Oreochromis niloticus: one gene and its partner. The protein of the gene in region 1 interacts with the protein of each later gene in a pairwise test. Links are inferred from orthologs where the notes say so. Each region holds a gene or a part of one and is shown on either strand. Other genes may lie near its edges.

Region 1 (3,750 bases):
AAATACTTCTGGTCCTATAGAAGTTCATAGAAAAATGGGACTTGTGAAAAAATTCTGAACTAAGTACAGAATTTTCTGTTGAGTTTATGGACTTGGGGTCATATTGAATAGAACATTAAGCTTTCAATCATATCAGATTTCAATCATTCTAAGATTCAGAAAGAGAGGTTTCCAGGGTATACTTATTGAAGTGTATGGTTCAACAGTCAGATCACTTGTCACATCCAGTTTACAGATGCCAAGACGGTAACAGTGAAAAATCTCAGCTCAACAAATCAATGTGGGATGGTATTGTCCCTTCATCGATCTTTTATACTTTAAACTAAATTAAAACAAAGTTTTCCTTGTTTTTCAGTTTGCCATTGGATCTCTCATGGATGATTATCTGGGTAAGTTATTAGACCACAGTAAATTGTCAGATGGGTCATAGATCTGCTTTTTTTGTTTTTGTTGTTGTTGTTGCTTTAGTTTGGTTATGATTATTTGTACAAAAAAACCCCAACAACAAACAAACAAAAATAATGGTGTATGGTTTTTTTAAAAAAAAACTTAAAATGTACCATCTGTATTTTGTTTCAGGTCTCGTGAGCTGATTTTCTTCTGAGGAGCATGAAACAGTGGGACTTTATTGCATTGTATCTCAGTTTGTCTGTCTTATAATTACTATTTTTCTACTGTTCTGTAATAGAGACGGGGGCCAAGCCCTATAGGCACATCATGTTATTATGCTGTACAGCCTACATTTTTTTTATGGAAATGTTGTAAGAGTGTTAACAAATTTACTTAAAAATTGCTAGCAAATAGAAGTATCCATATTAGTAGTGTTTATGTTATTTTGAATGCCCATCATTCCTACATATTTTTTGCTTTAGCGTGTGCTGTAATAAAATATTTAATTTGTTCTTACATCCCTGTGTCAGTGTATGTTTATCTCCCTGTGTTAGTACCTTTACAAGTGGCATTTGTAGCTAAGTTTTTAAGTCATGTTCGAATGTTTTGAAATGTGACCAGACAGCTTTATCCATGTCGTTGAGAAGAATTGTGAACGCGGATATTTCAAGAACGCGCACGTCACGTGGCCGTAAATACGTCAGTGAAGCGCGCCGTCGTTCTTTCTTTCTCTCGTCCTGAAGATGGCGGCAGGGGTGAGTAAGATGGAGAGGTGGCCAGCTATAGTGCTTACTTTTAAGTTTCCTGCTGCAATCCGCTAAAAATCAGATGCATCTGCCCTCTTACTGAGTAGCTTTTCACACAGTCATTGCTTTCTGAGTGTTTTCTAGCTTTTATAGGGGATATTTATAAACAATGCCATTCAGTATTCCTCCTAACTCAGGTTAGCTGTTGCTAGCGATGCATTGTAAGTGGAGGACTCCGCTCTCCTAGCTCAGGGTTGTGCCACGTTACCTTACCTATTCATCACTTTGAAAACCTCCTCTTCGCATCTCACGCTTTTTTTTTTTTTTACCTGAGGTTAGCTCTACAGTTGAGTTTATTTAGTCTCAATTCTGCCGTATATTTAAAATTATTCTCCGAAGTTAAGCGACTCGGGGTTAAGGACCAACTTATTTGACAAGAGAGCGTTTTAAGCCACGTGAAAATTGTTTATTTTAGATAACTGGTTAACAGAAATGCAGTCTTCCGTGCAAGTCAGCATGTATTTCAGTTTTGATGCATTTCAGCTTCATCATTCTCCATAACCTAGTCAGGCAGATTTTAATTGGTCGACCCTTTTAATTTGGATGTGATCCTTTTATTTGTGACCATAAAACAAATTAAATGCTGCCTCTTAACGGGTTTGATAGCTTGCTTACCAATTTTATTGAAGTTTACATGCCTTAATTAGAATTGGAAAACAGACAGAAGGCTGTTCAGGACTCAGTATATACATTAGTAAAACACCAGGCTATTTCCTGAAAGTCATTCATAGCCCGATCAAATGGTTAGACATCCAGCTTGAAAAGGTGTGGTGCATATATATGCAGTTTGCTTTTAAAAACAGTTGTCTGTAACAATGGTGTTGTCTTCCGTCCTTTCAGACTCTGTACACGTACCCAGAGAACTGGCGGGCCTTTAAGGCCCAGATTGCAGCCCAGTACAGTGGTACTCGCCTCAAAGTTGCCACGAGTGCCCCTGCCTTCACCTTCGGGCAGACGAACCGTACTCCTGCCTTCCTCAACAACTTCCCTCTGGGCAAGGTAAGTACAGCTGGCTTAATCAATTCAATGAATCAGTTCCCTTAAAAATGCAATTTTGCTTTGCTTTTAGAGCCTCCCTTTTTTTCCTTCCCACACGAATATGGTTGACTCGTTATTTGTCAAATGCAACTTGTGAGCTGGGATTGAACCAGTTTGACAACACACCCTTTTGTTATGTTTCGTAGCCAACAGATCTGCACATGCACTGCTTTGTTCTGACTAAAAACGCATTGAATGTGTTCAAATAAGTAGTTCTGTCATTGTTTGTAGGTACCTGCCTACCAGGGAGATGACGGCTTCTGTCTGTTTGAGAGTAATGCCATTGCTCACTACTGTAAGTCTCACATTTAATAATAATTAAGTGGCTTGAATTCTACACTCTTGTTTTAGAAAATTCCTCAGGGATGCAGTTAATTCGGTCTAGAATTTTTGATGGGATAAAGCACTCAATCAGCAAAACATTTAAATTCACAGGACATTTCTTGACTCAAGGGTTTATCATCATATAGACGGGTCAGACCACACTGCTAGTTATATCTATACAGTCTTACCTGTAGTGTATCATTTCATTGATGTGTATCATTTCATTGATGTGCACAATGTATGATAATTAAGAAAATCTTAAAATGCTGAGGTTGTACTATAAAAGTAAAAAAAAAAAAAAAATCAGAACTACTGTGAAACCATAACAGCAACTTTCCTTTTTAAAATCTTGCGTGCGTAGTGAGCAATGATACCCTGCGCGGTGCCACTCCTCAGGCGGCAGCCCAAGTGCTGCAGTGGGTGAGCTTCGCTGACTCAGAGATCATCCCTCCTGCCAGCGCATGGGTCTTCCCCACTCTGGGAATCATGCAGTTCAACAAGCAGGTATACAGCTCAGTATTTCTTAGTCAAAACAATAGCTTCCTAGATGACTGCACCCTGTTGTTGCACCTTGGTACTGGAAAACAAGATTTACAGTAATTTTTCTTTCTTTTTTGTTTTTCAACTGTCCAGGCCACCGAGCAGGCCAAGGAGGATGTGAAAAAGTTCCTTGCTGTGCTGAACCAACACCTGAACACCCGTACCTTCCTTGTGGGAGAGAGGGTCACCCTTGCAGACATCACCGTGGTCTGCTCCATGCTCTGGCTCTACAAACAGGTTTGTCACAGATGGCCGCACCTTGCGGTACCTTGGAGCCTAACGGCAACACTTTAGCTCTGTCATGAAATTTGGGGAGGAAGCTGCACCAGAAGCCATTAACACCTCACTGTTCCCTGTAGGTCCTGGAGCCTTCTTTCCGTCAGCCCTATCCCAATGTGACCCGCTGGTTTGTCACCTGTGTTAACCAGCCACAGTTCAAGGCTGTCCTCGGAGAGGTCAAGCTGTGTGAAAAGATGGCTCAGTTTGACGGTGAGTCACCAGCAGTTAGATCAGAAGGCATACATGTTAGACAGCAGGTCCCTTATAAACTCGTAGCCTAAGTGTCTGAAATGTTTAAAAGCAAAACTCCACACCATTGTTGTTTAAATGATAGTTGGAAAAGCTGCATTCACTCCTAATATTTGAGTTATTT
Region 2 (3,750 bases), on another chromosome or scaffold:
AAGGGATGGTTGGCTCAGTAGAGCTCTGACTGTTTGTCAGCCTGGCTACAGTGCTGAAGAGAAACCTGGGGTTGTTCTTATTTTCTTCAATCAGTGACGAATAGTAAGATGTTCTGGCTTTGCGGAGGGCTTTCTTATAAAGCAGCAAACTATTTCTCCAGGCTAAATGATGATCCTCTAAATTTGTGACACGCCATTTCCTCTCCAGCTTACGAGTTATCTGCTTTAGGCTACGTGTTTGAGAATTATACCACGGAGTCAGGTACTTCTGATTTGAGGCCTTAGTTTTCACAGGAGCTACAGTATCCAGAGTCGTACGTAGTGAGGAGGTAAAATTATTAACAAGATAATCGACCTCTGTTGGAGTAGCGTTCAGATAGCTGCTCTGCTCTATGTTGGTACAGGGCATTGAAGATGATAACAGTGGGTGGATTATATTCTTAAACTTAGTTACAGCACTTTCAGAAAGACATCTACTGTGATAAAGTCTACTCTCCACTGCTGTGTAATCAATTATTGTAAATGTAAATGTTATCAGGAAATGATCAGACAGCAGAGGGTTTTCAGGAAACACTGTTAAAAAGTTAAATTCAAGCTAACTGTAATCATGACCGTCACCACAGCTGATATCAGGCCGAGTCCGTGTTAAAGCAACATTTGGAAGCTTTTAGTGGAAAACAGTGAGACATTGATGTTACTGAGGTTGTCCCACCTCTGCCGAGGTCACAAGCCAGTTACAATTCTGCTCTCAGACATCTGTACAGGTGTGAGCGTACCTGGGGTCCATGCCCTGCATCAGGATCTCATCCTGTTTACACTCCACCATGTCGTTGGTGAACATGGCGTGGAAGTACGGGATGGAGGCCGCCAACACGATCCGGTGAGCGCTGAACTTGTGATCCCCAACCTGCAGACAGACACGCTGATTAACAGACTCACCTGTGACTCACCTGTTGCTATGACGACAATAAAAAACTGAAAACAGCTACATCTGAGGGATGTGTCACAGGAAGTGTTGGATTTACTGCCCTTAAACATTCACAGAACCACTCCTCGCTAGACAGCCAATAAGACTATGGCTTCACATTAAGCCCCACCCCTCACTTATCAGGTAAAACAACAAGATGATGACGGCAGACATCATTACATGAAGGTAAAGCTGCGTTCCTTCACCCTCTGAAACACAAGCGTTTCAACAGGAAGTAGATTTCAGGGTTCAGCTTAACTCTGTCAGCTGACCAGCTGGCGCCATCGATGATGTTTCCACTAGCTTCAGCTTAACGCGCAACCAATCAAAGTCCTTCATCCAACCAGCCAAGTCTGCCTGCATCATTGAATCGGTCTGACTTCCTATAAACTTCTGCAGGTCACCTGAAAGTGGACAGGTGAGGATGTGCTGCTTTATCCGGAGGACACCATTAGTTCTGGAAAACAGCTGCCTCTGACGTGGGTTCACCTGAGCTGCAGACTCAGCACCTTGCCTACTGAGCCGTTAAGAGGATCAATGCTGAGCTGCAGGCACAGGACGCAGCACAGGTGAAAATGTTTCTCAGTCGCACCTGAACACCTCTGAACAGCTCAGAAGCACACCTGGATCATGTGATGCTGACAATGAGCACCCAGCTCTGTTAACTGCTACCATAGAGCCAGGCCCTGATGGGGAGGGGTGGAGCCACCGAGAGCTTCTTCCTGCTGTAGGGGTTAGAGTTAAGGTCCCGCCCCTCCCTCACCTGGCGGACATGTTTGGAACAAAGAGCAATCACGTGTCTGCTCACCTGCACACGCCAGAACGCTGCTAAAAGGCTCCGCCCCTTCTGTGCTGCCTGAGCTCACCTGCGCACGTCACACAACCTCTACCTTTCCCCAGGTGGATCACACACCTGACCTCCAGCCCCGGTGTTAAGAGCTGACCGCTCTAACCGGAAGCCGCTTCGCCGCCTTGCCTGTGGGGCTCCCAGGCAGTTCACAGGTCAGCCCATGACGTCACTATCTGATAATCCGCGTTAGCTTGTTAGCATGCCTTAGCTCACTTTGCTAGCTTGGAGGCTAATGTCAGCCTCACACGCCGCCTCGCTCACCTTGAGCGTGACGTCACAGAGTTTCCCCTGACGTCGGATCTCCTCCATGACGACAAAACCTCGTGCCGGCAGGTCGTGCACTGAGAAGTGGACCAAATCCTCGAGCTCTTCGCACAGGACGTCGCCCATCGTCAGCGGGAGCGCGCGGACTGGACCCTGCGAGCCGCCGTACCCAGCGTCAAAGCCGCTTTCACAATAAGAGGGAGCACTTCTGCTGAGATTAAACTTCAAAATAAAAGCTTCTAAAGCCTTTCATTTGTAGTTATTGATGAGTGATTGCTCATTTATTAGGCCTTAATGTTTGTTTTTGTCAGGATTTAATGAATGTATCAGGTGTTGGCCCTGAGGAGCATCAGATGAGCTCACGTGACTGCAGTGACATCTGATATGATGTCATGAATAATGACTTTATGATTGGTGACCTGCAGCCGTGATTGGGAGCACAACAGCGTAGTTATTTAGTGAAAGCTGATTGGCTGAGAGATAAACAGCCTGAACACATCAGAGAGTAAACTAACAAACCGATCTTGAGCCCGCTGAAACCATCCGAGCCTGCAGTTCCTCCAGCATTCAGCAGAGGGAGCACTGAGTCAGTCCTCATAGACTCCTGTGTTAAAATTCAAATGTTTTGGCCTTTGTAGATAATTTCCCCTTCATAACTGCAACAATGACTGGATTCAACAGAAGGGAGAAGAACACATTTTTAACTCACCTGTTTGCATTGATAGGGGTGTGGCCTCTGACTGACAGGTAGATGGTGACAAAACTCGCTGTAGGTGCTAGATTTCACCTCAGCTAACTGGAGTCTCTGAGCTAGACCTCTGAACTGTGTTTGATGACATTATCTGACCAATAAGATTGCTGCTGTGACCATGTAAGGATTCTGATTGGATGTTACTGATAAGGTGTATGTGTATGCTAAGCTAGCTAGCTAGTAGACAACTGGCTGACAACTCCACCCTGTCCTCCAAATATGGTCACCACCGGAAACAAACATGGCAGCAAGTAATGTTACAGTCTCTTATACAGTCTGGCCTCAGGGATGTCACCTGATGATGGGTGCTTCCACGGTCGCCACTTTGGCTGCAAAAACCTGAAGGTGGCAAGGAGGGGCGGGCCTGATTGTGAACCCACATGCTCACTGACTAACGCCCTGGACTGCAACCTGTCGAGTGGTTGGAGTGAGCAGGTTCCTGGCCATTAGCCAATGAGCATGCAGCTTCACCACTTTGAAATCCAGTGTGACCTAAAACTGAGCCCACAACCTCAGCAGGATATTTTTACACAGGTCAAAGGTCAGAAAGCTGCCTTACCACAGCTATTGCCCCCTGGTGGCCTTCAGACAGAATGCAGGCTTTGGCCGTGCCCATGATTCTTCCTCCAGAGTGAATGAAGGTGAGCTCAGGTGTTTCCTGAACGTTCAGTAGACAGCTGATTACTTCCTGTACTCAAACACCTCGTCTGCTTTCTATTTTCTTTTATTATCAAACAGATTTTTGTACTCAAACTGCCGACCAATCAGAGAGCAGCTTCACACAAACAAAACAGCAGAAAAAAAAGAAGTTTTATTCACAAGTTTCGGTGTTTGACCTTCAAACCCTGAAGAGCACCTGAACGCAGCACTGCCTCTGAGGCTCAAAGTCGCTCAGAGACCAGGATCATGTGACTCCTT

Evidence for each region.
Region 2: the proteins of eef1g (region 1) and klhl18 interact in binary tests that used the Homo sapiens proteins (3 or more experiments, as listed by UniProt). The two-hybrid records come from large-scale screens. The link is inferred for Oreochromis niloticus from reciprocal best matches to the Homo sapiens genes EEF1G and KLHL18.

Annotation. Positions count from the first base shown.
Region 1 is NC_031966.2:22,178,640-22,182,389, reverse strand, and holds the start of eef1g (elongation factor 1-gamma), read left to right. Parts: upstream 1-1,002; 5' UTR 1,003-1,133; coding exon 1,134-1,145; intron 1,146-2,036; coding exon 2,037-2,195; intron 2,196-2,465; coding exon 2,466-2,529; intron 2,530-2,919; coding exon 2,920-3,062; intron 3,063-3,191; coding exon 3,192-3,335; intron 3,336-3,457; coding exon 3,458-3,587; intron 3,588-3,750. Other genes in the region: polr2g (DNA-directed RNA polymerase II subunit RPB7), read left to right, coding at 356-389, 580-593. UniProt on the Homo sapiens protein: Probably plays a role in anchoring the complex to other cellular components.
Region 2 is NC_031982.2:34,541,503-34,545,252, reverse strand, and holds the start of klhl18 (kelch-like protein 18), read right to left. Parts: upstream 2,318-3,750; 5' UTR 2,208-2,317; coding exon 2,079-2,207; intron 2,050-2,078; exon of another isoform or gene 1,776-2,049; intron 1,615-1,775; exon of another isoform or gene 1,600-1,614; coding exon of another isoform or gene 1,591-1,599; intron 1,554-1,590; exon of another isoform or gene 1,372-1,553; intron 1,366-1,371; exon of another isoform or gene 1,334-1,365; coding exon of another isoform or gene 1,226-1,333; intron 908-1,225; coding exon 777-907; intron 1-776. UniProt on the Homo sapiens protein: Substrate-specific adapter of a BCR (BTB-CUL3-RBX1) E3 ubiquitin-protein ligase complex required for mitotic progression and cytokinesis.